7 linked regions of the Nothobranchius furzeri genome follow. The protein of the gene in region 2 interacts with the protein of the main gene of each other region in a biochemical or structural test. Links are inferred from orthologs where the notes say so. Each region holds a gene or a part of one and is shown on either strand. Other genes may lie near its edges.

Evidence for each region.
Region 1: the proteins of nedd4a (region 2) and yod1 form a complex in vitro, tested with the Homo sapiens proteins (2 studies listed by BioGRID, with this or other methods). The link is inferred for Nothobranchius furzeri from reciprocal best matches to the Homo sapiens genes NEDD4 and YOD1.
Region 3: of the proteins of nedd4a (region 2) and sqstm1, one has a biochemical effect on the other in vitro, tested with the Homo sapiens proteins (2 studies listed by BioGRID). The link is inferred for Nothobranchius furzeri from reciprocal best matches to the Homo sapiens genes NEDD4 and SQSTM1.
Region 4: the proteins of nedd4a (region 2) and mlana form a complex in vitro, tested with the Homo sapiens proteins (2 studies listed by BioGRID and IntAct, with this or other methods). The link is inferred for Nothobranchius furzeri from reciprocal best matches to the Homo sapiens genes NEDD4 and MLANA.
Region 5: the proteins of nedd4a (region 2) and map3k2 form a complex in vitro, tested with the Homo sapiens proteins (2 studies listed by BioGRID and IntAct, with this or other methods). The link is inferred for Nothobranchius furzeri from reciprocal best matches to the Homo sapiens genes NEDD4 and MAP3K2.
Region 6: the proteins of nedd4a (region 2) and plk1 form a complex in vitro, tested with the Homo sapiens proteins (2 studies listed by BioGRID, with this or other methods). The link is inferred for Nothobranchius furzeri from reciprocal best matches to the Homo sapiens genes NEDD4 and PLK1.
Region 7: the proteins of nedd4a (region 2) and ubiquitin-conjugating enzyme E2 E1 form a complex in vitro, tested with the Homo sapiens proteins (7 studies listed by BioGRID, with this or other methods). The link is inferred for Nothobranchius furzeri from reciprocal best matches to the Homo sapiens genes NEDD4 and UBE2E1.

Annotation. Positions count from the first base shown.
Region 1 is NC_091743.1:71,972,352-71,976,453, forward strand, and holds the start of yod1 (ubiquitin thioesterase OTU1), read left to right. Parts: upstream 1-1,302; 5' UTR 1,303-1,382; intron 1,383-3,625; exon of another isoform or gene 3,626-4,102. UniProt on the Homo sapiens protein: Hydrolase that can remove conjugated ubiquitin from proteins and participates in endoplasmic reticulum-associated degradation (ERAD) for misfolded lumenal proteins.
Region 2 is NC_091749.1:60,024,149-60,028,137, reverse strand, and holds the start of nedd4a (E3 ubiquitin-protein ligase NEDD4), read right to left. Parts: upstream 2,801-3,989; 5' UTR 2,594-2,800; coding exon 1,304-2,593; intron 1-1,303. UniProt on the Homo sapiens protein: E3 ubiquitin-protein ligase which accepts ubiquitin from an E2 ubiquitin-conjugating enzyme in the form of a thioester and then directly transfers the ubiquitin to targeted substrates. Specifically ubiquitinates 'Lys-63' in target proteins.
Region 3 is NC_091741.1:64,353,292-64,357,533, forward strand, and holds the start of sqstm1 (sequestosome-1), read left to right. Parts: upstream 1-1,442; 5' UTR 1,443-1,673; coding exon 1,674-1,836; intron 1,837-1,998; coding exon 1,999-2,094; intron 2,095-2,165; coding exon 2,166-2,440; intron 2,441-2,557; coding exon 2,558-2,711; intron 2,712-2,820; coding exon 2,821-2,889; intron 2,890-3,562; coding exon 3,563-3,717; intron 3,718-3,793; coding exon 3,794-3,992; intron 3,993-4,076; coding exon 4,077-4,237; 3' UTR 4,238-4,242. UniProt on the Homo sapiens protein: Molecular adapter required for selective macroautophagy (aggrephagy) by acting as a bridge between polyubiquitinated proteins and autophagosomes.
Region 4 is NC_091746.1:53,502,367-53,506,456, forward strand, and holds mlana (melanoma antigen recognized by T-cells 1), read left to right. Parts: upstream 1-1,290; 5' UTR 1,291-1,397; intron 1,398-1,586; exon of another isoform or gene 1,587-1,638; intron 1,639-1,772; 5' UTR 1,773-1,776; coding exon 1,777-1,865; intron 1,866-2,015; coding exon 2,016-2,112; intron 2,113-2,527; coding exon 2,528-2,635; intron 2,636-3,052; coding exon 3,053-3,121; 3' UTR 3,122-3,657; downstream 3,658-4,090. Other genes in the region: uncharacterized bromodomain-containing protein 10, read right to left, coding at 3,979-4,090. UniProt on the Homo sapiens protein: Involved in melanosome biogenesis by ensuring the stability of GPR143. Plays a vital role in the expression, stability, trafficking, and processing of melanocyte protein PMEL, which is critical to the formation of stage II melanosomes.
Region 5 is NC_091743.1:83,211,177-83,215,471, reverse strand, and holds the start of map3k2 (mitogen-activated protein kinase kinase kinase 2), read left to right. Parts: upstream 1-1,495; 5' UTR 1,496-2,335; intron 2,336-3,566; 5' UTR 3,567-3,584; coding exon 3,585-3,639; intron 3,640-3,896; coding exon 3,897-4,015; intron 4,016-4,150; coding exon 4,151-4,191; intron 4,192-4,268; coding exon 4,269-4,295. UniProt on the Homo sapiens protein: Component of a protein kinase signal transduction cascade. Regulates the JNK and ERK5 pathways by phosphorylating and activating MAP2K5 and MAP2K7. Plays a role in caveolae kiss-and-run dynamics.
Region 6 is NC_091744.1:8,886,495-8,890,722, forward strand, and holds the start of plk1 (serine/threonine-protein kinase PLK1), read left to right. Parts: upstream 1-1,428; 5' UTR 1,429-1,608; coding exon 1,609-1,962; intron 1,963-2,277; coding exon 2,278-2,446; intron 2,447-2,556; coding exon 2,557-2,701; intron 2,702-2,775; coding exon 2,776-2,869; intron 2,870-2,950; coding exon 2,951-3,173; intron 3,174-3,297; coding exon 3,298-3,340; intron 3,341-3,453; coding exon 3,454-3,551; intron 3,552-3,683; coding exon 3,684-3,761; intron 3,762-4,228. UniProt on the Homo sapiens protein: Serine/threonine-protein kinase that performs several important functions throughout M phase of the cell cycle, including the regulation of centrosome maturation and spindle assembly, the removal of cohesins from chromosome arms, the inactivation of anaphase-promoting complex/cyclosome (APC/C) inhibitors, and the regulation of mitotic exit and cytokinesis.
Region 7 is NC_091745.1:63,686,867-63,690,841, reverse strand, and holds the end of ubiquitin-conjugating enzyme E2 E1, read right to left. Parts: intron 3,515-3,975; coding exon 3,382-3,514; intron 1,219-3,381; coding exon 1,071-1,218; intron 741-1,070; coding exon 643-740; 3' UTR 501-642; downstream 1-500. UniProt on the Homo sapiens protein: Accepts ubiquitin from the E1 complex and catalyzes its covalent attachment to other proteins. Catalyzes the covalent attachment of ISG15 to other proteins. Mediates the selective degradation of short-lived and abnormal proteins.

The sequences.
Region 1 (4,102 bases), on a different chromosome or scaffold from region 2:
ACTTGGACTGCCGGTACCCGTCAGCTGCCTCTGGAGTCCCACAGATCAAAAAGACCTGATAGGACTCTTTCTTCAGCTTGACAGCATCCCTAACCACCAGTGTCCACCAGCGGGTTTGGGGGTTGCCACCACAACAGGCACCGACGATCCTGCGACCACATCTCTGGTCGGCCGCCTCAACAATGGAGGCACGGAACAGGGTCCATTCAGACTCAATGTCCCCTGCCTCCCCCGGAACATTTTGAAAGTTCTGTCGGAGGTGGGAATTGAAGCTCCTTCTGACAGGAGACTCTGCCAGACATTCCCAACAGACCCTCGCGATACGTTTGGGCCTGCCTAGTCTGACCGGCATTCTCCCCCACCATCTGAGCCAACTCACCACCAGGTAGCGGTCAGTTGACAGCTCCGCCCCTCTCTTCACCCGAGTGTCCAAGACATGCAGCCGCAGTTCAGATGAAACAACAGCAAAGTCGATCATCGAGCTGCGGCCTAAGGTATCCTGGTGCCAAGAGCACATATGGACACCTTTATGTCTGAACATGATGTTCCTCATGGACAATCCATGACTGGCACAGAAATCCAATAACAAAACACCACTCGAATTCAGATCAGGGGGGCTGTTCCTCCCAACCACACCTCTCCAGGTCTCACTGTCATTGCTCACGTGAGCGTTAAAGTCCCCCAGCAGAACAAGAGAGTCACCGGAAGGAGCGCTTTCCAGCACCCCCTCCAAGGTCTCCAAAAAGGGTGGGTAGTCTGACTCTGAACTGTAGTTTGGTGCATAAGCACAGACCATAGTCAGAACCTGTCCCTCCACACGTAGACGGAGGGAGGCTACCCTCTCATTCACTGGGGTAAACCCCAACATACAGCTACCAAGATTTAGGGCAATTAGTATGCCCACCCCTGCTCGGCACCTCTCATCCACAAAAACATTCTTCCTATCTGGAATGGACATTTTGAATAGCCGGATCTAAACTCTCACTAGGTGATACATATACACTTCAGCCATTAATAGTAGAAATTCTACTATAAGTCCATGCCTCAGGTAAAATGGTAAACAGGTAAAATTAAAACATTTTTCCTATAGGGAAGTTGCTATTGTGGACTTCCTTAAATATAATTTCTACTGACAACACAACAGATCTGCTAGTATCTTTGTTGACAGTTTTGGATAATAAGAATACTATTACTAGGATAAATACTTTTTTTTTGAGGAATCACATGCTGCCAAATGCGGTTGATTATTAAATGTTAAAGTGGCTTGCCGTACTCCCAACTCTACGGCGTATAGCGTCATGACGTAATTTTAACGGCTATTGATATTGGTCTGTCGCTGGAGGTTTATTGTTTGGGGCTAGCAGGACTGCAGACAACGACAGGTATGAATATAATGTAACTGACTTTGTTGCTTCTTAAATTATATTCTATGTGAAATTGTTAAAATTAAAACTGACTTATTTCTTAGAGACTCAAATGATGCCGAGTCCAATAGTTAATTAACCAAAGCTAACTGCCAGATTAGCATGCTAACGTTAGTTCTAGTAACTTAAGTAGACAAGTGTTTTCTTTTTCTCCCTCGTCTGTTTTAAGGACAGCAGTTTGTAGCGAATTGACCAGACAGTTGACTGTTGTGAGTTCCTCACCATTAAGTAGTGTCCACTGACGTGAGACGGTGAGGTTTTAGCTATATGTGCTTGTTAGCTTGTTGTTGCTAATATTGAATGGAAGTCGTCAGTGTCCACTAGAACAAAGAAACAAACAAAGCAATACAGCTGTTGGGATTAAAATCCCCTCGTCGTCAGCACTTTTCTTGGTAAGTCCAATACCGGGAGCATTAAAATAACAGTAACAAAACAACGAGGAAGGCAATTCACCACCGTAACAGAGACTCACAAGCAACAGGAGAAAATCACTCTTAGTAATAATCACTGTTCGTTCGAAATATAGAAAAACTTCACCTAGATTTAGTGCGTGATATTAGCGAAGCATTGAACACAAACGTGGCATGGGTTTTATTCATAGGTTAAATTAAATTATATATTAGCAAGCGTGTTTTTATTAACACATTTTTAAGTATCTATTGTAACTAACTGAAGCAAATGTATACAGATTTTACTGTGATCATATTGAGAACATATAATTTATATTAACAAGATTACTAGATTTTACTTGAGAAAGGTGCAATAAGTAAGATTTTATAGGGAGCCTAAAGGCTGATTCATACTGACACTGCTCCAGCATGTCTGATCTGTTGGATCGCCATGATGAGACGCGTTGAAGACGTGTAGTTGAAGTAGTCACTCCCAGCATTCGGTGGTGCTTTAATGTTTTACATGCTTTTCATCGAGGCTACCCACAGTTTGGAAAGTTCCACAGTCGCCAAAAGTCCTTTGCTATGGCAGTCTACTGGCTTGTGGAGGGGCAGGTGAGAAATTCAGGCGGCAGTGCGGCCCACGACGCTTTGCAAACCTCGGTCACAATCCCCGAAACTGTGCTGGAACCCATTTTATAGCTCGCACCGACTGCCTGTTGGGGCGCACCAGAAGCGAAAACCCGCAGGGTAATGGCAAGTCTCTGTGCAGCATAAATTGGCATGGAATTTGTTCCCTGGTGCTGTAGAAGTGGTGCCAAACGACAAACCAGCTTATCGTATCGGGTGGCAGTCATGCGAAAGTATCTGAAATAGGGCTGCACCAAACGATTATTTGGATAATCGATTAATCGGATGGTGTCTCGACACGATTAATCGATTAATCGGATTACATGGGGAAATTTTTAAAAACTGCTAGGGAAACGTTATTTCTCTCCTTCCTTCACTTTATTTAACACAACATTATTAGAAAACAGTTCAATAGCAGAAAAACAACATGCCATCACCTAAATTGTCTTATAAGGTGTATAGACAGAGACCCTAAGCTACATCTATCTGTGACCTAAAATGCTTGGTCCAAGTTAAACAGCTTAAGGGCAATTCTCATCTGTTTTGTTTGATCTCATCTGTTGACATTTATTTTAAATGTAATTAAACATAGGCTGTGAATTAATCAAAATTGATCACTATTTCCAAAAATGACTGAAAAAATACCAAATAAAACAAAAGTAAATGAATGCCATCCTCCTTGCGATGATGCCTTGGGCAACTGCCATAAAGTCACATCAAGAAATGCTGCTGATCATTCCAATGATCCCAAATAGACTCACATTAGGCCACATGAAAGCAACTGAACCCAAAAATATATTAACCAGTATATAACTGCACTCTCACACAACACACCTGCAGCAACAGTTAGGACTCCTCCCTCCCTTTTAAAAGCATTTTTGCTTCTGAGGACATTGTGGTTGTAAAACCACATGCTAGTAGTCTGGCCCCGGTGTGATCAACCAGTTTCTGCGGGAATGTGACGGCGGAACCAGGGCCAGATTAACACTTTGTTGTACCCTGGGCAACAATATTCAAGGGCTCCATCATCACGACCCAAGGATCACCATAATGTGGTCACATACAGAATATTTTACTGTAATATGCAGTAAATATACTCAATACTTGAATTCCTGACAACACGTAACCCGCCCAGAGTAACCTTTGACCCACCTCGTGTGGACTGACCAATGAGGAGAGGGTCTTAACTTGAGGCCCTCTCTTCATTGGTCAGTCTGCATGAGACTGACTCTCAACTGACGTTCAGTCGTAGGCAGCGAAGCGTCTCTGTGCAGCGCAAAAGCCCGGGTGGACAGTTTGTTTAATGTAGGGTGATCATATTTCCATTTCCAAACAAGAGGACAGGGGATCTGTGCCTATGACGTCACACTATGGCAACGCCACACAAACCATGTTGGGACCCATTTTTTGTAAGAACTAAATTAATATCAGATTCTGCCAATAAAAGGGCTCTAAAACAATTCATATGTAAATATTTTGCATATTTAATGCAAAATCTAATTTTTCTGCTTTAGTGCTGCAACAAGGTTTTATTAATAATAAATTATTATACCTTTTGTTTTACTACAGCATCGGTAAGCTTCCTGTGCACAGATTATTAAGGATGCTTGTTTCAGCTGTGAGATTAGACGATAGGATCAATGAAAAAATAAGTTGTCC
Region 2 (3,989 bases):
CCTGCAAATAAATTTTCACAGGTGATGCCAATACCTATGCGACTTCAAGGGATGTGCTCCTGGCTGCAAAGCATTGCACCTTCGAATACAAGATTTTGTCTTGGCTTGTGAGTGTTTATGGATGTGTAGACAAATAAACTTGTTGATATGATATGTAGATACATATGTAGATACATAAACTTGTTTATATTCAGTACAAGTTACATTTTTTTTCTGCTTCCGTTAGTTGAAAAATATGAGAAAAACCCCTTGAGAAAATAATCGTGAATTCAATCACAATTGCAGTATTGAAGAAAACATCGCAATTAAGATTGTTTTCCAAAATCGTTCAGCCCTAGTAAAAGGATATGAAAACAAACCTTTGCAGATTTAAAAAGTCTTAAGTGGACCCTCTTTGACAACCTGCTAAACGCAGGAAGAGACTGACAGCTGATATTTCACAAACATTGCTTGGTGGGGGGACCCACAGGGATGGTAGCACGCCACCCGTTTACTTGGAAACGAGCACACACACACACACACACATGTACGCAGATAGCCGACATGACTGTGCACCACTCTAGTATCATGCTGTTAAATTTGAATCCACAGGTTTTGGGCAGTGCTACAGACCAGCAGACTATCCGGAGTCAGGGGGAATATTTCAGAGGCACCTTATTTATATCGGCATGGGGCACTGCGCTTCCCAACTCTATAAATAGCCATGGTAAATACTTAACCTGATCACTTATAGTGCTAACAGAATAATAAAAGTGGAAAACTCTACTGAAATTGTGTTTTCACACTGATGAATGCTGGTATTCACAAGATGGAGAACCTGTCTTTCTAATTTACACATTTCTTGGTATCCAATATGCAGATGGATTTACTGTAATGTAACTGAACACCTCTGAATGTTTGTCCACACACAGCTTGTTAAATACATGACTTAAAGTTAAAGGGCTTCTCAGTTACTAGAAGTCTTGTAACCAGTCTAATGCTAAAGTCAAAGCAAAAACAGTTTAAGACTTTAGGGTGACATTATTCCAGTGTACTGGAACTTAGAAATTTTCATTGATGAAAACAACCAATCAGTTAAAAGCTGCAAGTTTACAACAAACAATTAATCAAGCGGTGTTTATTTATACTACTCATTAGAAACTCTCGATATGTCTGAACATTGATGCAGGAGAGGCTGAACCAATGACGGAGTGGAATCTACTCAAACTTGTTTGACAACAGTGGCAGCAGGTCTAGAGTGCTGACAAAAGGCTACTAGGTGATCAATATAAAGCCTCTAAAGAGTTAGAAATGTCATACTCACCTTGTCATTTTGAACTGAACCCTTTACTGCATTACTTTCTTTGTGATTCTTAACATCTGTAACAGAGCTTCGCAACCTTCCGGGGTAGCATGGGGATAAATGAATGTGCACATGTGGGGAGCGAGGGCTGCAGAGCTCGGGGTTAGAAACGTGGCATGAAATTCCAGTGTTAGGGTAGGGCACCTCGAGGGAAAAGCTCCTCTGTATGGCACGATGCTTTTCACCAAGCCCGATTTGATCTTTTCCAGACAAACCGCTTTTATCGTTTTTCTCTGATGGCTTGGATGAAGAAAACAAACAAGCAGAGGTACTGCGATACAGTTTTCTGTGATTGATGTTTTCCCTTTGAGATAGGTGAACTTGGTGGTGAGCTTCGTTGGCTGCAACCATTTCCACAACTCCCTTGGTAGATACTGTTGGTTTCTGGTGGGCAAAATGCAGCAGCACGCTGCTAGAGTGAAGATTAGGTCTGTCTGAGGCTGACGGAAGCTCCATCAACGCGCTATTGCCTTCTGATTTGCATTTTGTTCCATCCTGTAGAGGAATATTAAAGTGGACCATGTGTTTCATGTCCCTAAGTTCAGATGAGCAGCTTCGTTTTGATGTTTGGTGTCCACTTGCTACAGTGGAGCTCGCCCCTACTTTCTCTTGGGAGAAATCACTGAAAGACGTCTGAAGATGTGACTGATTAGTACCCTTTGGCAGTGGGTAAGCAAACGGAGTCACAGCACATCCTGGGGAAGCAGGTGGAGTGCTACATGGGCTCTTCGGAATAATAATCAGTGAGGAGCATCGTCGCAGCGGGACCTTGGACTTGCGACAAAGCAGAGTCCTCTCCTGGATTGTCCTGTGCTTTTCTGGAAGCTCTGGCTCAAAGATGCTGCTGCTGCTACAGTACCCCGCATCGCTGGCCATGCTGCTGTTGCATGAACCTCCGTCAGAGCCGGTACCTGCTCCAACTTCACAAGCCCCTGGTTCTCCATCTTCTAAACTGCAATCCAGTTTTCCACCGAGTTTCCCACAGGGCTGCAGCGCAATTTGCAAAACGCTCTTCTTATTACACCCTCCAGCGTGAACCCTGGGTATGAACACTGAAGAGCACTGACTGCTGGCAACGTCTGGTGACAGAGGAGTCACCTTCAAGTGAACAGAGCTGTGCGCCAGATTCTCCGCTGGGCCATGAGCCGACAGACTGACTCCACTCTCTTCACCTTGGCTGCTGAGGCTTTCCGACAGGGGGTCCGTGTTGCTTCTCCTTGACGCAAAATGCAAACGGAGCTGATGTGACATTTGTTCAACTCACTAATCCCTGTAGGGCTGGCGAGACGTACATGATCAAACTTGCTGGTGGAAAAAAAAAACGAGAGCAAACGCAACAGCTCCATGCGCTGTGATCACAATCATTAGTAGCTGCGCATTGCCAAAATAGCTCTGGTGACAAGCTACATTCCTCTCCAGGCTGATCTCAGCTTTTAGTCAGAGCAGGCCAGTGGTTCTGTTTGGAGACATGACCCAAACACATGACCTTTCAAACCGAACCATTAGCCCCTTTAAAATTCCTCGGCCCAATAAAGAAGAACAAAGCTACTCTAAAGATAATTGGAAAACCTTTTCCTCAGCTTTGCATTCTAATAAAAGCCTAGCGTAACTCGACTGTGCCTCCAAAAAAAAAAACAGACAAATTAGCATTTTTCTTCTGAAAATAAAGAAAAACAAACAAAAGCATGACAGTCCAACGTGCTGCATTTTAGACTGAAGCTCTGGTAAAGTGTCACATCTGCGTTGGCCCATTCGCTCAGGACTCCTGCTGCTGCTATGCTACTAATGTTTCTGCTGCTCTGTGCCCCACAAATAGTTTTACCCATTGCTATTGAATTACAGGAAATCAAACGAGTGAATGTCAACAAAATTCTGCATCAAACCAAGGAGCAGGTTGCAAAAGCACATTTCAGACAGTAAATCACAGAGCTCATTAGGATAACACAAGAGCTCCTTTTAGTGTTTTAGCAGTGACTTTAAATATTTCCTGCAGGGAACAGGACAGCTGCTGCCTAATGAGAAAAACGTGAGGTTTTAAGAAAAAATAAATGTCATGAAACTGGTTATCTGATGCCTCATGTAACAGTCAATGCTGCTCTTATTACTTCTCCATAGATGTTGACAGTTTAATTTATTAACAGTGAGGCTGCCTGACCTATTTCAGGGCATTACTTTGCTTCCAAAGTATAATAATGGAAGTCACGGCCGGGATAAGGACATGACTCACTGCAGGACGCTGTGGAACTCCTAACCTATTTTTTAAACCAACAGAACCGTGTGACAGTAATGCAATGGCCATACAATATCAAATGCTTATATAGAATGACGTCATGCGGCAATAATACAGAGACACGTCCCTTAAGAACTCCATGAGTTTGGTATCAAAGTGAACAAAAACAAAGGCGGTATTTAATCAACTTTTCAGAGAACCAGTCTGCTGTGTAGTCACTACAAGCTGAGTCAGAGAGGTGTGGTTCGAGTAAAGACTGGAAAAATCAATCAGCAGGTGCAGCAGGTGGATGAACTAGTTTCTTAAGCTGTGTTTATTTACTTTTAGGTATTTAACCAACCTCTCAGTCACTGTGTAACAGTTACTGTTTGTATGCAGCATCTAATCTGGAATATGCTACATCGATGGTTTAGTTCT
Region 3 (4,242 bases), on a different chromosome or scaffold from region 2:
AAGGATGTGTAAAATATTAATGTTTTTTTCTCTCTTTTATTCAGCACATACATACCTGCTGTAGGTGGAGAATAGGCCAAAATAAGCATTGCTTCTGCCTATTCCTTTTTTGGTTGTAATTCATGACGTTATCGTGATGTATCTTAGTTGTTTGAAGATCTTCTCTGTAAACATGACAACCAAAATAAAGGATCGATCAATCAATAGCCTGGTGCTGCCCAGGATAGAGAATTGCTTTGGATTGATCCAATCAGCTGGTTTCTATTATAGAAGCAACTTTGACTGATTGGAGATGTAAAACCTTATGGACCTGATTCTGGTGCAAGGTGTTAACTGGTTTAAATAAATATTTGTCTCAATGTCTGTAATTCATTCAGTTACCTGGTTTAAAAGTGGATTCATTTGGCTATTAATCAGTCTCACTGGAAGAACCTCACTCTAGCTCCAGGATGCTGAGAGCACTGATGCATTCTGGGATTGTTTAACTTTGTTTTAAGAACAAAAAGAAATCCAAGCATGCATGTTTATCATTGGACCAAAGCAATAAAAACAAATGATTACAATTAAATAATTGAAATTAAATGTTAAATTAATTTTACCTTAAGGTTGTTGAAACCTGATTATGTAATCAGAGCTCTTTATACAATGTAGTCAGAAAATATTTAGCTAATTCTTCCATTAAAAATCTTTGATTCTATAAATTGTTTTTAGTCAAGCTGACAAAACTGAATAACAGTTTCAAATGCAGTGACTTTCACTACATTGACCTTTAAAGGCTTTAAATGAGAGGTTTGGGTGGTTTTCAGCTTCATCTTGTGATTCTGAGTCAGCAAGTCATATGACTCATGCTGCTGCTGATTGGCTGCAGCGGCTGGGTGACATCACAGATGCAAACAAACATTTGATCAAAACAGAAGCTCATGAGACATTTGAAAAGAGTGATGCAAGGATGACTCAGGTGTTTGAGGAATACTGAGAGTTTGACTTATGTTTTACATTTCATATCCCATCTAATTGTTTACAACTGGACAGCAGAAAATCAGCTTGAATCTGGACTGATTAGAGCAGGATTTGCAGATTGCTTTCGTTTTAGCTGTAGATTAATTCTGTAAAAGTGTGTATGGGTTCTTGACTCTGTTGTAGTAATTACGGACTGGGGTTATCTTCAGCAGATAATTAACAGAAAAAGCATGTCGGGGTTGAAACCAAAGCTCAGTTAAAACACACACAAACATGCATGTTTATGTTTCTCTGCTGGATTTCTAGACCTGCAGTTGCGTTCTCAGCTGGATCCACTCATTTAGGATTTTCATATTTTTTTATTAATAAACTACAAATCAATCACTTTTCTAACAAATAAAACAATGTGCCACGTCACAATGACTAAGCGGCTTTCCCAACTAACACCTGCTCACGTGACTAGTTGGAAAGTCCCTCACCGTGCTGTGTAAAAAGATGTTTCTAGACGGCAATGGTCCCTCATTAGCGGAGCTCAATGAGGACCAATGGGAGGCTGTGTGCGTCTTTACGTCATCTTAAGACGATGACATAGAATGCGGAAGTAAACATAAAAGAGGCTGAAATTTACCGCTGCGTCACAAAGTTCTAGAGTTTGGTTCTCCGTTTGGTTGTTTTTCTGTCTCTGTTCGGAGTTTGGTTCGATTGAGTTCGTAATGTCGGTGACGGTGAAAGCCTACTTGCTGGGAAAGGACGAGCAGGTGAAGGAGATCCGCAGGTTTGCGGTGGACCAGGACGTCTCTTGCAGCTTCGAGTACCTGAGCAGGAAGGTGGCGGCAGCTTTCTCCAACCTGAGCAACTTCAACCTATTCTACAAGGGTGAGGCGCTTATATCAGAGCTGGTTCTGTTTCAACCCAAACACTGACTGGATTTCTGCTGCGTGTCTTTCTGGTTCTGGATTGTTTTTAATATTCTGATGAATGATGTTTGGTGCCACCTGATCTGTGCTTGGACTTGATGTTTGAGTTATGGTGTTTTAGATGAAGATGGAGACCTGGTGGCCTTCTCCTCTGATGATGAGCTGATGATGGGACTGGGTTTTGTCAAGGACGCCACCTTTCGCCTCTTCATTAAAGGTAAACAAGTCGTCTTCCTGTTATTTCTTTGTAAGGTTCCATCTGACTAAAGTTTTGTTGAACTCTTGCAGAAAAGAAGGAGCACCGCCGGGACTTCCCTCTTCATGCATTCCCCCCTTTCGCTTTCGGGCTCCCTCATCAACATGGACCTCCTCATGCCCCACCTCCTCACCCGGGCCCGCCCCCTGCCGTCCATCCCAACGTCACCTGTGACGGCTGTGAGGGCCCTGTGGTCGGAACGCGCTTCAAGTGTTCAGTGTGTCCAGACTACGACCTTTGCTCCACCTGCCAGGCTCGAGGGACCCACACTGAGCACCCTCTGCTGCCCGTGTGGCACCCTCTACAGGTGAGTAACCTGGATGACAGGTGTCAGAGCTCAGGTCACCACTGGCAGGTGTCAGAACAAGTCACATTTCCTGATTAAAATGTGATAAATCGGTGGTTTTCTTAAAATTTTATTTAGCAGTGGTTTCCTCGAGGAAAATGGATGAAAAAGATGAAACACTGCACGTGGAACCAGCACATGGCCCAGGCACAGACCCAAAACCAGGACCAGAACCAGAAGCAGGAGCAAACCATTCCCTCCAGCTCAGCATCTGACTGCAGCACCTCCTCTGGTAGGTGATGTGAACAGATCTGTGTTTATGTACAAACTGGTCATCAGTCAAAAGGAGTCCAACTCAGAGCCATTGTCCAATAACAGAGACTGACCTCTGACCTCTGTAGCTTCTCAGGTCAGCGTGAACTATTTGAAGAACATTGGCGAGGGCGTGGCTGCCATGCTGAGCCCACTAGGTGAGTTGTTTTACCTGGAGATGTTTTTAATGTGCAATAAACAAGAGGGAACTCATCCTAATACGCACACGAGTGTCATTCAGACATTTAAAGTCATTTTAAAGTGCTGTTCTGTCAATTTAGATTCCAAACTACTGTTTCTAGGAATAGGAAGTCCTCTGACCAGAGCATTACTTTTGGCTAGCTGGATCTGTGACATTAGAAGCTAATTTCCAGGATTAGCCAGAAGAAAAACCTCAATGTCCTGCTTTTCCTAATTGGCTGCTCCACTTGGGCAGAGTGAAAACCCAATGGCACACAGGCAGTAGCAGTAGCATAGTATTTCAAACGTTATTAGAATAAAACAAACAGCATAAACTAAAGAAACAATCTCATGTAAAATTGTAGGGCTTTAAAAACTGCTAATATAGCGTGCTAACGCGTCACTATGGGTTGTTTTTAAACACCAGAAACGATGTATTATTTCATTACCAAGCTGACTAGTTAGCCTCTGTTCAGAGGAGCACTTTGTTTCACCTTCGGTGATGTCACCTGCAGGCAGTGTCTGTACTGTAGATATATGACCTATTGACCATCCCTTCAGAAAGATCAGAATATCACATTTAACCGTTTCTATTAAACTTCCTGACAACAGAATCCTGATGAAGTAGGGACTTTATCTGTGCATGTGCAGGTATTGATGTGGACATCGACGTGGAGCATGAGGGGCAAAGGATGAAGGTGACTTCACCTACTCAAGGTGAGGAAGAGCAGGGTGAAGTGCAGATGGATGTGGGAGCTGGCGAAAGTGGAGCCAGCAATGAAGGTGGAGCAAAGCAGGGGCCAAAGGTCAGTCTTCCTCAGACAAAAACTAATAGATCAGTCTAATTAATGACAATTACTGACCAAATACACAAATCTGCAGGTGGGCCGAGATGAAGATGATGAGTGGACTCATCTCAGCTCTAAAGAGGTTGATCCATCTACAGGTGAGCTTCAGTCGCTGGAGGGCCAGGGCTCAGGCCCAAGTCCAAGTCCAGGTCCAGGTCCAGCTCCTCTGTCAGGGACCGAGGAGGGACCCACAGGTCTGCGGGAGGCAGCTCTTTATCCACACCTGCCTCAAGGTGAGTTCAGATTCTGCGGTTCAAGTTTTTTTTTTTTTTTGGTAGTCCTGTCCCTATTAAGCCCCTCCCCTTTGTCCCCCACAGAGGCTGACCCCCGCCTGGTGGAGTCGCTGGCGTCAATGCTCTCGATGGGTTTTACAGATGAAGGCGGCTGGTTGACTCGGCTCCTTCAGGCTAAAAACTTCGAGATTGGAGCTGCACTCGATGCCATCCAGTACGCCAAGCAGTCCCACCCACGCCAGTGACATCA
Region 4 (4,090 bases), on a different chromosome or scaffold from region 2:
CAAACAAATACTCTGAGGCAACCAAGTGTTTGACTGCTAAAAAATATTTTGTTAAGAGCAAGGCCAGATTATTGAATGGCTGTTACGGTAACTATTGGCCTATGAAAGGCTGGATCATCCAGTGGCTAATTTGGGCACAGACCCAGGGGCCCACTTCTACTAGGGGCCCGTGCAAAACAAGATTATCCAGTGGGTAATATGGGTACAGGCCCAGGAGCCCACACGGGCCCACAGAAGACCAGATTATCCAATGGTATTATGGGGTACAGACCTAGCGTCCCACCCATATGTTCCCATACAAAACTGGATTATCCATTTTGGGCCCAGACCTTCTAAAGGTCTGTGCAAGGCCGGATTATTCAGTGGGTAATATGGGCACAGGCAGAGGGGCCCATTCTAGGAGCCAATGCAAGGTTGAATTATCCAGTGGTACTAGGTTCATGCTCAGGGTCTCATGCCTAATAGCAGCCCATGCAAGGCTGGGTTATCTAGTGGGTATAATGGGAACTAGGAGTCTATGTAAAGCTGGATTGTCCAATGGGTAATATGTGCAGAGCCCAGGGCCTCAAGCCCACTAGCATGCAAGGCCGGATTATGCAATGGATATTCTGTGCACAGGCCCAGGGGCCCTTGCCTACTAGGGGCCCGTGGAAGGCCAGATTATCCAGTGGTTAAGATAAACTCAGGCCCAGGGGCCCAGTTTCAGGAAGAAAATAAAGGGTTGTTTTCAACTTTCCATGGTTGATTGTGATCATATGTGCTGGTAGATCACAAGACATAAAAACGTTGTGCCCGGGGCCCTCTGCCATTATAATCCAGCACTGGCTAAGAGCTATGAATACACTTACAACCCACAATCGGAACCATCAATACAAAAACAATAATAAATAAAATAAATTGAGCTTGAGGTACAGCATTCTCTCTAGGTTTAAAATCATGTTGTGGTCTCCCTCTTGTGGACAAAAATAAAATGGTTTTTCTCATTTCCACCCAACTGATTTCACTATTGTGGAAATAATTTGAACATTTAAGACATTTTCTGCACAATAGAATGTTTTCAGAGTATAAGCCAATCAAACTGGCTATCAACATATATTTGAGAGTGATTAATTGTCCACACATACACACTCACTTCTTCACATGAAAGGCCAGCAGCTGATGTTTGGAGTTTCACGAGTGAGCAGAAATGAAGCTTTTTGGGCTGCAGGGCTTCACGGTAATTACTTCATTTCAATGGATTTAACCATGAGTCTGGAACCCGTGACGGTCATGAGGGGGTTCTGCCCCCCACTGCTTTCTCGAACACCAAGTGAAATGACTCAGAGCTTCTCAGACCTAGTGTTGAGAGCAGGCTTTCAAATCAGGACAGGTTTTCGCTGACATCCAAGAATAATTTGGTAAGAAAATGTACCTTTTGTCCTACGTTTTCTCTGGAAAAGAATCAGGGATACGACTGGTCCTTAAAGAAAATATTTAAACTTAACTAGAAACTAAGCAGGCTGCAACAGGTGTCTGTTCTAAACTGGAGGGACTTACCAAAGGCTGCTATCTTTAAAAATTGACCTAACTGACATTTCACTTTATAGGACTACTTTCACAGTGACTTGGTGACTCCAGTGTAGTTTTATCCAATAGGAGGTCAGAATTACTCTTTAACTGGATACTTTTGTTTGGTTGTAATGACAGCAAATGTCAAAACATTATTTTTACTTCTATTAAGCTAAAAAAAAGTATTATGTTGCCCCCTGAAGTACTCTCCTGTTGACTTTCAGCTTGATGTTGTGCAATCGTACAGACGGGATGCCTCGTGGAGACTTCAACATCTATTTTGCGAGTGGTAGAAGAGGAAACGTTCGAGCTGAGGAGTGTGTTATTTTCTATTTATGCCGTTTTACACCGGCAGGTTTCACACACACTCCTGGTGGTATCTTAGACGTTTGCACTCTGGTTTACAGGCAGTAAAAACAAATGCTGCACTAAAAAACAACTAAAAACGTGCTGTCGATTCATTCCAGAGCGGTGGGCATTGCTCTCCTGGTGGTGATCCTTGCAGGCCTCTTCATTCTGGGCTGCTGGTATCTCAAGAAGAGGAGTGGCTACAGAATAATCAGGGTGAGACAATTATCTTCACTTTAACTATTTTTTTTTGTTATTCCATCTTATCAGCCTACATATTTAAAAAGTAAAACCTGCTATTTATAAATTCATTTATTTAGTTGTAGTTTGTTCTTTCTTTCTTGTCCCTCTTCTACAGCAGGGGCGTGTCCAGGGAGTGGCCTGGGGTAGCACATGCCACCCTTAGATTCTGATTGGCCACCCCAGGTGCCACCACACTAATTTGCCTTTAAATAGGCTTTTCACTGTCCACATAAAGCTTGGGGCTAAAGCAAAAAATAAAAGCATAACCATTGGTGCCACCCATGCACAAAGTTGTGCCTCACCTGGGCCACCCCATTTTAAAAGATCTGGACACGCCACTGTTCTACAGTAAATTAGTCTTTTTCTTTGTTTTGTTTTTTACCTGCAGAACCCAAGATCTGGATCACCAAGTTTCACAGGAGGACAGTACTCTGAAGCCGGACCTTCAGCAGATAACAAAATGCCTCTCACTGACTTTGGGAGTTTCCGATCCGCGGTGAGTCAACTTAAATAAATAAAACAGCTGATCTTATTTACAACTGCTGAGCAGTCTTTTGTACATATTATTCTTTAGCAGCTTGAATACAAAAACACGTGAACATTTTGCTAACATTCAGGACAGAGAGCCCTTGTTCAGAGTTGTGAGCAGCATAGAGCATGTGAAGCGAACGCAATGCAGCAGATGCCTGAGGGAGATTATTTTGTCACCAGGCTAGGCAAAAGGTATTAAGAATGTCTCATTCCCAGGGAAGGCAAGAGAGCCAGAGGATCAAATCAACTTATATTCACTACTACTACTTTACTATGTGTGTATGTCATAATGCAATTACAAAAATCACCTTAACTAGAATATATGATCAGTAATGTTATAGAACTCCAGTAATCATTTAATTTAAACTTTCTATTTTTTTAGGTACCAAATGCTCCTCCTGCCTATGAAAAAATCTCCTCAGGAACACTCCCACCTCCTTACTCCCCGTGAAAGATGGACAACTACAGGATATATGGAGAAATGGACAACACTAAGACCAAACTAAGAACTTATTTGATGAAATAAGACATTACTGTCAATGTAGTTCCTAATCTTTAGTTTCAACAAACAAATGCAAAAAGACCTCACATTCTGGCTTGATAAGAATCTCAAACATGCTTGTTCGGGACAGTTACAATGTTTATTTTCATGTAGAAATGTCCACTGTTGTTAAATGAAAATGTACCTAGTAAATATTACTTTTGAAATATCTATAATGGTAAAAATAAATAAATGTGACTCTAAAATATTTACAGACTCAGACATGTAGTACAAATCCACGCATTGGTTAAGACTGCTAGAAATGATAAATGTAGTTTTCAAACTCTTGCTATTTGAAAAGAAAAAGAAACCATGACAAAAACACGTAAAAGGATGTAGACAGCTGTATTTTTTCTGAACAAATCTAGAAGAGCAACTTGTAATAATGAATAGTAAACCGCTGGATATGTCTTGAACCAATATCTAATAAAACTGCAGAAGCTCAACTTGAATTTTTTTTTCATCTACTTCTCACCTTACGGATTTGTTGTATTTACTGGCCATGAAGTGAATCCTTGCAAGTTTACAACATTCGTCTCAAGAGGATTCAAGTTGCCACTTGACAAACCCACAGCATACAATTTCAGTATGAAAACACAAGTTCATGTGGAAAATCATTTAACCAGAGGGTAAAATACTCTGCCTAAAATATAAGATGACTCAAAGTATAACTGGAAGTAGCTATTGGTAGAGGGAACAAACAGACATCCTGCCAAAACGAAATGAAAACAAAAACAAAAGAAAATCAGTGTTCTCACTTCGCTGGCTCAGTGCTGTTCTGTTGGTTCACTGGTGTCTGCCCGAAGAGGGTGTAAAGAGGAATCATGTGTTTGTAGTGCTCCAATAGAACTGTTGGAGGAAACCACCAGTGCATCAAGA
Region 5 (4,295 bases), on a different chromosome or scaffold from region 2:
GACATTAGCCGGAAGTGACGAAAAGACGTTTTTTCACAATAAAACTCCCTTCAGATTAGAGAAACAATAGTATTTTTTATATTTTTATGCTGTTGTTGCGCTTCTAATGAAAGCAGTGAACAACAAATATTTTTAAATAATATTTAGATAAAATGTTCAAACTATCAGAAGTAGCAATCATTGTCTAAAAGTAATTATAATCATTTGCTCATGTAAATTCAAACAAATTGCAATGAATAAAAAAGTCTAATAATCATTATTACTGCATTTATCTGAAAAATCATACAATGAGGCGCACGTTAATATGTTGATCCCATCGCAAGACACAGTTTTAGTGTTATTGATCTGAAGTGAGCGGTGTGTTTAAAATGTGATCAAATTAATTCCATCTTTTAGTTCTTTTTAAAACACAGAAAGATTTTATTTACCTGCAACGTTTCGTTTGCGGCTGCAAAACCCAGGTAAATAAAACCTTTCTGTGTTTAAAAAAACTAAAAGATGGAATTAGAATTTCAACACAGCAAGAACACACCAAAGATAATCAAACGAATTGTTCTTCTTGCAGCAGAATTTTGCTGTTTGGGAATATAAAGTGGTAAAATTATGCGTTGAATGCACATTTACACATAGTGTTTAATGAAACAATTTAAATTTTATCATAACATGACTGGATTTGACTGCAAATAACTGAACTAAATTGGAATTAATAGGGGTCAAGTTAATCACTACTGAATGAACTTGGACCAGCATGTAATCAATTCAATTCAATTCAAAAATACTTTATTAATCCCAGAGGGAAATTGATTGCTGTAGTAGATCAGAATAATAATAATAATCAAGCCATCAAAGATTTGTTGTATATTACAATGGCTGTTGGCAGGACGGATCTCCAGTAGCGGTCAGTGTTGCAGCGAAACTGAAGAAGCCTCTGACTGAAGACACTCTTCCGTTGTCGGACAGTCTTGTGAAGAGAACGCTCAGGGTTGTCCATAATTTTCTTGATTCTCTGGAGAATCCTTCTTTGCATTATCTCCTCCAGCGGTTCCCGAACAGCCGAAACTCTGGCTGAGTCCTTGAAAGGGCTTGGAGTTCCTCCATCTTGTTGACCAGTGATCTCACATTGCCCATTATGATCGATGGAAGAGATGGTTTGAATTTCCTCTCTCTCTGTGTCTCCGTTTTGCTCACGCTCTGCACCCACGCTTCTTGCATTTTAGCTCATTTGGGATTTGTGGCTTCAGTTGAGGTATTATTTCAGCCTTTCCAATGTTAATCAGCTGCTCCCGATTGTAAACCAGCTTGTTGCCATGGTTACACATCATAACAAATGCTCAAAAAGTGAAAAAAGCTAAAAAAAATAGCAGTAAAAATCCTCCAAGCTTCACAGCACCAGAAACAGAAAAGTAAAGTGTCCAAAAAATAGTTTTTCTTGAGAAACTAGAAGAAAAAATGCTAAAGAAAAGGCTAAACTTACATATAGTCAACAGAGCTACTCCAACATGCAGCCACCCAGAGCAGCGCAGTTCCGGAAAAAAAGTCACTGGAATGAATCAGATAATGAGTGGGCCTAGTGTGTTTGGAACAGCAAGTCACACTGGATGGCATTTGAATGACCTGAATTGACCTTGAGTATCGTTTGCTTTGAATTTAAATTATGAGGAAATGTGACTTGTCTAAACGGAAGCTTAATTTATACTATAAAACACTGTGTTTACAACTTATTTAATAAATTGGAACTGAAATGAAGCTCCAAACAAATGCTCAAAAATCTAATAAATATTTTTACTTGTCATGTTTGTATGATGTTTCTGTTGGACCCTCAGTGAGGTTAGGGGTTAACACTAGTTAAGCTTCTCAAAATAAAAGTACTTTCGGTTAACATTTGTTTCAAAATAAAACACAGAACGCCACTTTGCCTTCCACCACGAGACGTGCTGCTTTTATTTTATAAACACGGCGTAATTATTTCCGGTGTGTTTTTAATCGTACATGTTAGCTCGATGAAACTAGGGGTCAGCATCGAGCAAGGTACAGTTAAGCAGGCTGTGTAGCACAACAAAATGAGATCTGTGGATTGAATTAGCCTTTGAACTGTCGCACTGGAGTGTAGCGTGCCGAACATAATAAATATCACCCTGTCACTTCCCCTCCTGGAGAGACGAAGCGGCTGAACCAACAGCTACCGGGCCTCGTCGTCGTGGCCCAGCAAGACTCGAGTGAAGTTGACAGCGGACTGACAAACTTCTGCTTCCTCCAGCGGCTCTCCACAGGGCCCGGGGCTCCTGTCACCGGTCCTGTGGTTGAGGAAATAAACCGAGATTAAATTATTCATCAGGTGGGATTAGGCTGAAGACAAAAACAATCTCACTTCGTTCATGAACTGTTCCAATAATTGTGCAGCGCGGGCGAGTGCTGGTTAGCTCGGTTAGCCCAGCGGCTAGGAGTTAGCTTTAGCGTTTGATTAGCCTGATAACTTCCCTTGCCTGACAGCTAACAGTGGAGTCATTACCATTTCATCCCCCAAAACCTGCTGCTTAAACAACAAATTGTATTTTTCAAGAATTTCATGTCAAGATAGCAGCTATTTTGAAATGTTATCCTGGCATGAGTCGTAATGTAAAATTAGCTAGCAACAGTTGTTAACTTCCGGGGCTTATGGGTTACAAATACAGTTATCTTCTAAAGGCTTTAATAACAACAATACCATAAAGTAATTAAGGCAATATTCTTAATATTCTGAGAAATAATACCTGTGTGTATTTCTAGTTGGAATATTAGTGCATCTGCCGTTCCTTAAACGTTTTAACTGATTTAAAATTACAGGTTTGTGTTTTGTTTTTGCGTCAACACCAGCCAGCTTCTGTGTTAATGATGCCACTTTAGTGAAGAATTGCCAACACTATAATTGTCTGTGAAACTTGTGTTCAGGTGAACCTACAGAGGTTTCCATACATCTTTGAACACAATGAAACTGTATTTATTATAAAGCAGGTAGCTGCAGATGTAGTATTATAAGCTGTTTGGTAATAAAAACGGCCAAAAAGCCAGAAAACCTCTGAAGTCCATGTTAAGAATAGTTTCCATAAAGCATGTTATGTTTCTTGTTGCTTTTTGCAAACACACCTCCAAAATAAGCAACAGTAGAGCTTCTTGGACTCTACAGGTGAGTTAGGGTGTAAAAAAATGAGCTCATAACAGGATGAAATAAAAGAAGACAAGAATGCTCACTGCATTTAAAGGCAACCAAAAAAGTAACTTCACCCCCATATTTGTTGAGAAATAAGGATTTTTGGTTCTGCAAAAATCAAACCAAGTGACGCATACGATGAGCCAGTTTCAGTGTCATTCCTGAATTGGATCATAGGAACAAAACAATTTTCCACAAGATTTTGTTCCCTTAAAAGACATCAGAGCAAACATTTCCAATAATCCCCATTTATGCATTTTCTTTCTGCCTCTGGCTCACCAATTACAGATCTGCGGATCAGTCAGCAGCTCCATGCTTTCTAACTTGCGTCTTCATTAAACTGAATGCTATTATTTATCCAGTTGTGTTGCTGTTTCAGGAGAAAGGAATCCCTTTGATGGGAGAGTCTTCTATCCTGGCCTCCTGGGTCAATTGCCGTGCCATGATGATGGGTATGTGTGCGAGCTTTGTGATCATGTTACAGCTGGCAGAGAGCCAGCTGAGTCTTTTGTCTAAAAACTTAAATAATCTTTTTTTTCTGTAAACAATGTCTCTTTTTCTATTATGACATCTGTTTAAGCGACGAGTCATGAGCTCCTGCTGGGGCTCATTTGTTTTTATCTTTTAGGTTTGCGATTGTTAGCATAATGATCAAAGTGTCACTTGTTGCTGTGGATAATCTGTAAACCCGATTAATTTATCTTTGCAGATGAGCAGGAGGCCCTGAACTCCATCATGCAGGACTTGGCCGAACTGCAACGCTCCAGCCGCCCTGCTACCTTCCTGTCGGACCTAGGCAAACCCAAAGCCTCCTCGCCCAAGAACCAGGTAACCACAGAAATGTGATTTGGACATGAAGTGTGAGAAAAGCTCAACAAAGCAAACATGTTTCTGAGATCTCAAAATAAAACCCACGTCGTCGTCCCAATGGTTTTTATGCTCAACGTGACTTTGTCTCCACAGAATGATGTGAGAGTGAAGTTTGAATTTAAAGGAGAGAAAAGGTAAACATTTGTTCTCTAATGCTGTTCCTTCAGACCAGCAGCAGCTGCAGCCTTCTGACTTCTCATCTTCTCTGCAGGATCTTACAGTTTCCTCGACCCGTCAA
Region 6 (4,228 bases), on a different chromosome or scaffold from region 2:
CTCACAGCACCCTTGAGATTCCAGTGAGCCAAAACTGTGGAAGAAAAGAAGATGAAACATGGAGGGAGGTAACCTACTCTACTTTCTTTGTGCCCCTCTGCAGAGGACGTTCAGCTCTCTGCAAAATCCTGTGTAATAAACTAAATGTGTGTAAATGTTGACCCATACAAGCACAGACAAGCTTACTTCATTTAGTTTTCCCTACAGCATCTTCTGTGTGTTGCCATGGAAACACATGGCAGCAGAAGAGAAGGATGAATGTGCAAAAATGGAACAGACACATATAAGCCAGCAATCTCCACACATCACCCACCAGTCGGACTAAAGCCTGAAGACCATTTATAAACAAACACACAAAGTGAAAAAACAAAAAACTGTAAAACACACATATTTTAAAGAGTGTGTGCATAGTAAATAGTCCCTATATTAAACATCCCCCCTTATAACAAAGTCAAATCAGCCACTAGCTGTGCACTCTTACTTTTTGTTTTAATAACTATGGGAGGCTTCAACAGAAAATGATTCCCTGGAAAAAGTGTTGTGGACTGAAATTTTTATTTTAAGATGATGTTACCTATTTAATGATTAGACATTTATAAAGTTAATTCTAGACCATCATGACAATAATCTATTTATGATCTCATTATTTACAGCTGTGAATCCGTGCTGTGTCATATGAAGTGCTTATTGTGTGATTGGTCTGAAAAAAGTGCTTTCTCAAGGAACAATAATTGTGAATTTGTCCACTGCTGCCACCCAGTGGAATATGTGTGAAAGTGAATTAAACTATCAATAATGTAATTTTTTGCAACATCATGATTTTCTCAATTTACCTTTTAACTGTAGAAATACACAATTTAATAGTTCTGTGCCGATATCGTTTTTGCAAACATGCTTTTATTACTCAAAACGTTTGTGCATTTCGTCTTATTTTATTTCAATTTTCGTTTTTATTTTGACCACACTGTCGTTTCACTGTTTTATCCAGTTTAATAATATGATTACATGTTAAAATTAAATCCTTCTTGGATTCTGGATGACGATAAAATCAAGTAAAATCTAACACTAGTCTACATTTACCATCAGCCTTTGCGTTAAGGAAACGCAAGACGTCATTGAGCCAATCACGATGTTAGAACTTTATTTCAACCCCGTTGATTGGCTAGTTTTGCATTTTTCTTCCCACAATGCTTTGCGTAGAATTCAAATCAAGTGGACCAATGAGAAAGCGCCGTGGCGACAGAGCGAGCATTTAACTTAATACTAGAAACTGTTTTCGAAGGGCAGAACAGAACACAGGAGACGCCGCCGTCGGACACGTCTGCTGAATTATTCCATGAGGAAAGCAGATTTATTTTAATATTTATGTCTATATATGTCGTTTTATAATTGTAGAACCTAATGTTAATTATCGCTTGCTTTCAGGAAGTCTAAACTCGTGATTAGATTTAAATTCAGACGTGTATGGGAGAAAGTTAGCTAGCTAGGCTAAAGTAACGTCGGTTGTGTTAGGGTTAGTAGTTTGATTCTTGTAGTTTTCACCACGTTTACTGCGCGGAGAGAAAATAAACATTCCTGTAAGTTCATAGAAGACAGCTCTAATACAAAATGAGTGCTGGTACCGCAAAGCCGTTGGAACGTGCGGATCCCAAATCGGCACCTCTCAAAGAAATCCCAGAAATTCTCGTTGATTCCCGAACCATGAAAAGATACACGAGGGGGAGATTCCTCGGGAAGGGTGGTTTCGCCAAATGCTACGAGATCACAGATGTAGAGACGAAGACGGTGTTTGCTGGCAAGATCGTAGCTAAGTATTTGTTACAAAAGCAGCACCAAAGGGATAAGATGACCTCGGAAATCGCCATACACAAGAGTCTGGATCACGCTAACATCGTCGGCTTCCACGGGTTTTTCGAAGACGATGACCATGTGTTTGTGGTCCTGGAGATCTGCAGGAGAAGGGTGAGTACGATGGAAGGAAACCAGCTTTTCAGTGAGGTTTAGAGCCGACGGTTAAACACTGCGACATCTTCCGTTGTCCTCATGTTTAAATAGTGGGAAGCAAGCAGTACCAGACTCATTTAACACCTCACAACTATTTGATCTTTGATAAAAACATCTTAAAAAGAAACTTCTAGCCTATAAATGTGGGTTTATTGGTCCAGTACCACTCTGGTGGCCCCATGTGTACCATATGTTCAATCTTATAATTAAACGCATAAAAGATCACTCTTTTCTTGAGCTGTTGTCTTGACTGTTTAAAATGCTTTATTTCAGTCCTTGCTGGAGCTGCACAAACGCCGCAAGGCTGTGACGGAGCCTGAAGCTCGCTACTACATGGCCCAGCTGCTGAAGGGTGTCCAGTACCTGCACAACAACAAGGTCATCCACAGAGACCTGAAACTGGGCAATATCTTCCTCAACGACGACATGGATGTCAAAATTGGTACTCCACTTGCTTGGACTTGTAGCTTGCACTAGATCTTTTGTTTTTATCACGTCGAGAAGGATTTGAATCAAAGCATGCCTCGTTATTACGTGTTCTCTCTTGTTTAGGGGACTTTGGCTTGGCGACTAAGATCGAGTTTGAAGGCGAACGAAAGAAGACTTTGTGTGGAACGCCCAACTACATAGCACCAGAAGTGCTTTGTAAAAAGGGCCACAGCTATGAGGTCGATGTCTGGTCACTTGGGTGCATATTGTAAGTACAGGCCCACAAACGCAACTCATTTGAAATGTCCCAGCTGTGAAAGCTTCCCTTTTCTGTTCTTTCAGGTACACTCTGTTGGTGGGCAAGCCCCCGTTTGAGACCTCCTGTTTGAAGGACACCTACAGTCGCATCAAGAAGAACAACTACACCATCCCCTGGGTATGAAAATCAAACTGAATGCACCGTTTTCTTTCTAAAATTAAGTTAATAATTGAGTCGTATGATCTGAACAACCTGCAGCACATCACCCCGACTGCGGCGACTCTGATCAAGAAGATGCTGCACGCCGATCCTGCACAGAGGCCAAGCGTTGCTGAAGTGCAGGCCGATGAGTTCTTTACGTCCGGCTACATCCCCCTCCGTCTGCCCACCACGTGTCTTACTGTACCCCCTCGGTTCTCCATCGCCCCCTCCACAACTGCAGAGCTCAGCCAGCGGCGTCCTCTGACTGCTCTAAACAAGGGTAATGGCGATCAAAATGAAAATCTTTGTTTTTATTTTTCCTAGGCAATGATGTTTGAGTTGATCCACATAGATTTTATTAGTCTTGTTTTAGATGTTAACGTTTTTTTTTTCTTTGTTCCCAGTTGGTACGGAGAAAACGGAGGTGAAAGACGAGCCTATGCAAAGGTGTTTTTCATTTATTTATCACATGACAAACATTTTATAAAAATTCTAGTTCTGTTAGTTTTTATCTTTTCTTTGCGTAGATGTTGTTAACCTTTAAATGTGTGTGTGTGCAGGGCGGCTGAACCATCAGAGCCCTACCTGAAAGACATGCTGCAGCAGCTGAACAGCATCATGTCCACCAAACCCTCTGAAAGGGCCGTCATCCAGCAAGGTTAGTGGACGTGTCTCACTTCGTCTTTACCGATCTTGTGGAGTCTCTGTTGCTATTTCTCTGAATTTTGTCAAAACGGATGCGGTTATCTACTTTTTAATCTACATCTAAGGTTTTTTTGTGTAATTCCAGAGGAGGCCGAGGATCCTGCGTGCATCCCCATCTTCTGGATCAGCAAATGGGTCGACTACTCTGATAAATATGGATTAGGTAAATGTTAGGAGACCGTTTGTTTGTTCACATAAGCTGCAATTTTAACTTTGTAAGTTTGGTTTAGACTATTAAAAGTATATACAGGGTATCTGCAGGTCCATAAAAAGTCTTAAATTAGCTTTTCCAAATTTAAGGCCTTAAAAATCCTTAAAAATGACAAATAGTCCTTAAATAGTTTCCAACGGTCTTAAATTACCAAAGACCCAATAAACAAGATTCTTTTATTTCTATAAAATTTTCATGAATTTCTAGTTAGTTTGGCATTTTTTGTGTATGATATTGGCGTAAGCGGAACCGTACACATTCGGTTGGTTGTGAAAGGGGGCTATTTTTAGATGAGCATGCTAGTGGGAGTTTGCACCATGGGGAAGTGCAACATTAATGGTAAATGGATGGCTAATCCCACGTTCACGACCTGGTTAGCACCGGTTCCAGGCAATAGCTGGAAATTATAGCTTAAATTT
Region 7 (3,975 bases), on a different chromosome or scaffold from region 2:
TACTGTCATCCAGAATGTTTACTTTGGTCTTAAACTGCATCCAGCTGTAAAAATCATTGTCTTATTGAGCTTCTTCTGCAGCGTGAACGTTTCCTGCTGAACTCTGGTGTTGACCTGAAACCTGAAGATGGATGACCCTTCTGACCCCCCGACTCATCACGGGCTATGTTGGGTAACCGCTTTCTTCAGCACTCACTATTATTAACTAGTCACTTCGCCACCAGGTCAGCATTTAAAAACTTTGACCCCAAAGATGTTTATCTACATACAAACAATAAACAGCGTCAAGCCGCAGCTCCAAATCAAACATCAGAGTAACGAGTTTTATCTGAAACAGGAAAGTTTAATCAGCGGGTTGAAATAAAAGCTGCAGCAGGTCTCAGCGTGATGCCCTTGAGTTTCTAACTCCTCACACTTTAACAAAATACACAGTAACAATGCAAAAACAGCTTGGGGAGGGGTGGGGGGTGGGGGTAGTAAATAAAATCCAAAACAGGATGTTCGTTTAGTTCCTTTATTACCATATTTGTGGAGATAACTTAATCAGGGAGCAAAACATAGACCAGACAATAAAGTACTAAAAATCTGAGATAGAAATAACCCACAACCACCCCACCCCTCCTCCTCCTCTACCCAGCGGGTCTATGTGGCGTATCTCTTTGTCCACTGTTTGGCTGTTCGGTCATGTTCGGCTCTGTTAGTCGTGTACTGGGTGGCGATGCTTCCTACCAGCGGATCGGCTGCATGGGGAAGAAAATAAATGTTTATTTTAAACAAATTTGTAAATCTGAAAAAGGTTTTAATGAAAAGGAATCTCACAAGACTAGAGATTTATTCTGTGGGAATGAGTGACATCTCCATCTCTGAAGCTATAATCTGTATATTTATACCAAAACTGGATTGTTTTTGATTCAAACACAGAAAGAGCTGAACCCACAGAAATCAGATGTAATGAAAACCATCCCTGATGCAGACGTAAACCAAAACACAACGAAAGGACAGGGCATCCAGCATTTTTGATGAACTATAGCTGGAAGCTTGAGATCCAGCCACCCAGCCTGTGGTCTCACCTGGGTTACAGTCTGTGAGCAAGGAGCAGATGGACAGCAGCACCTTGGAGATGGTGAGGGCGGGGCTCCAGTTGTCCTTCAGGATGTCCAGACAGATCACCCCCTGACTGTTGATGTTGCAGTGATAGATCCTCGTACGGAACGTCACCTGCAGACACAAGCAGGTTGGAAAATTATTTTCAGATCTACTCGCATGCTTTTTTATAAAATCGCCAGGAAGCCTCAAATATGAGCGTTTGATGATATTTTCCTCTCATAACTGATTTAACACAATAAGTCAAACTTTAAAAATAAAGAATAGTGGTTGTTAAACTTGAATGCAGCAGGAATTAAAGGTGGAGCAGAGCTGAAACACTGGAGATTAAAGCCCCCCTAGTGGCTGAACCCAGGTACTGGAGAGACTTTCAGTTTTAAAGCTAAAAAGCTCTCAAGTCTTTAAATCCTTCAGAAATGGGATAAAGAACTCCAGAGTCACAGACCACCTCAGACACAAACAATAGTCTTGTCCGAGAAGAAATGATCCCTAAAAAAGTAAAGTTACATAAATGCTCCAGATTCCTTTGGGTAACTATTAGAAAAGGTCCTGAAACTGTTTGACTGAGGGGTCAGAGGTTGTTAGGAGGCACTCACAAATAATTCATCATCCTTAAATTAAAAAGGCCACCAGTCCCAGTTCTAATGCTTAAAATAAGCCTCCAGGCTTGTATGTTTAAAACACGCACACCAGAACAAAAAACCTGTCATTGTGTTAAATATGACCAGAGGCTGCTTAGACCTCTTTATCAGTGCGTGATGCAGAATCAGCTGTTTGTCAACAGTCAGTGATTCTCTCACACACACACACACACACACACACACACACACACACACACACACACACACACACACACACACACACACACACACACACACACACACACACACACACACACACACACACACACACACACACACACACACACACACACACACACACACACACACACACACCCCATCACCTTCTGTACAACACAGACAACGCAGATGCATGAGTCCTGCTGCTGTGAGGGAAAAGTCCATAAAGGAGCCGTTATCTGGGGAAACTGGGCTGTAAATATGGACGTTACTGGGACGGTAGCGAGCTCCGCCTGCATATTTAATGAGCTGCTACCAGAAGAGTACTCGATCACTTCATCATGGTCCTTTGGTTGTGTGGTACAGTGGAAACCATTTAAACATCCATCTCTAGATTTCTGGGATCAGATGCGGTAAAGTCAGAAATGTACCTCTGCGTTGCCGTTAGCAACCATCAACAGAAACCTGAAGACAGACCAAGTTTGTTCAGTTTAAACTCATCTGGTCAAAAAAGAATCCGCTCCACTTGGCCACTACAAGCAGTGTCCAAAAGAACCTCTAATAAAAGATTTAAGTCCAGCTGTTTCCTGTTTGTGGGACTCTCCAACAATACATTGAACTAATCTACAGCAAATATTAGTGTCTACAGACAATCCCTTTATTTATAGTACATAAAACATTCTTTTCTAATGACTGTATCTAAATGCGCTACACTTTTCTATTTTATGACATAAAGTATGCTTCTGAAAACGTAAAAGTAGAGCCAATAAACACTGACGAGGTTATTAGTGCAAACATGATGACAGTGAAAGACGCACATCCCATCGGCAAAGCAGAGGAGCGAGCCGTGGCTGAAATAGCTGACTTCTGTCTGGAGCCTGTTATTAAAAGAGACAACAAGCTTTTCTGGTAGAAATATACAGCCAGCCTTCCCTAGATGTCTCGACTACAGTACCCGTAGGTCGGTGCCACCAGCTCATCGAAGCAGGTTTTCAGCAATCAGTCCACAACGTCCTATGTTGAAGCTGGTAAACATGCTGGTTTTTCAGGCAAAAGGTCTTTTTATAAGCTGCTGTTTAAAAGTTAATATTATGTGTGTTATGTTGTTATTGTTCTAGTAATAGTGTTTGTTATTCAGTTTCTGAACAGTGAAGGTCCAAACCAACAGCTCAGTAATTCCACTTGAGGTTTAATGTCGTAGTTTTTAAATTAGTCCCAATAACGCCGTACATCTTGGTCAAATAAGGCAGAAGCTTGACGGTATTAAAATTTGGATACCGCCCAAGCCTAATATAAAGATATAAAAACAATTCATGGAATAAGAGAAAAACAGACAAAAACAGCCACGGGTACAGCAACACCTGCTCGAAGTCAGCTGATGATTAAAATCTGCTCTTCCCTGGACACGATTGTGTGTAGGAGTTTTTAAAACCACCTGTTTCCTAATTAAAAATGCAGTTCTCACACACACCACTACCTTTGGGGGTTTAAAGGGGTAATCTGGCGTGAAGGCGATGTCCAGAAAGAAGACCCCTCCCTCGTACACGGAGCCGGGCGGTCCCAGGATGGTCGATCTCCACTCATAAATGTTGTCTCCTTTAGGGCCGGCGCTGCAGGCAAGAACATTACAGTCAGTCAGAAGAAACTGTTTCCCAGTTTTTCCCCTAGGAACCCATTGACCAATATCTTTGATTTAATTTATTGTTAAGAACATCAAGATGCATTACAGTGAACATTATAATAAAGTAAATTTTTCTAGTGCAGAGAGGAGACAACCCATAGAAGCACTGATTTGATCTCATTTCAGAGAATAGAACAGATCAGATGCACCTAATAAATAAAATTACTAAAATAAACTCAGGAATCTGTTTCTTTGCTTCACTGTTCTGGTGCTGAAAATATCACTAATGCAGATCAAAGGAGATACACAGATGAATGCACCTCTTATTTATTATTTGGAAATTAGTGGGTGTGGTTTACATCAATAAATTATTTTAAATCTGAAATTGATATGGATTGATCAGAAGTTGCTATGTGTGTTGTTTATTTGAAAACTATTTACAGAGCAGCC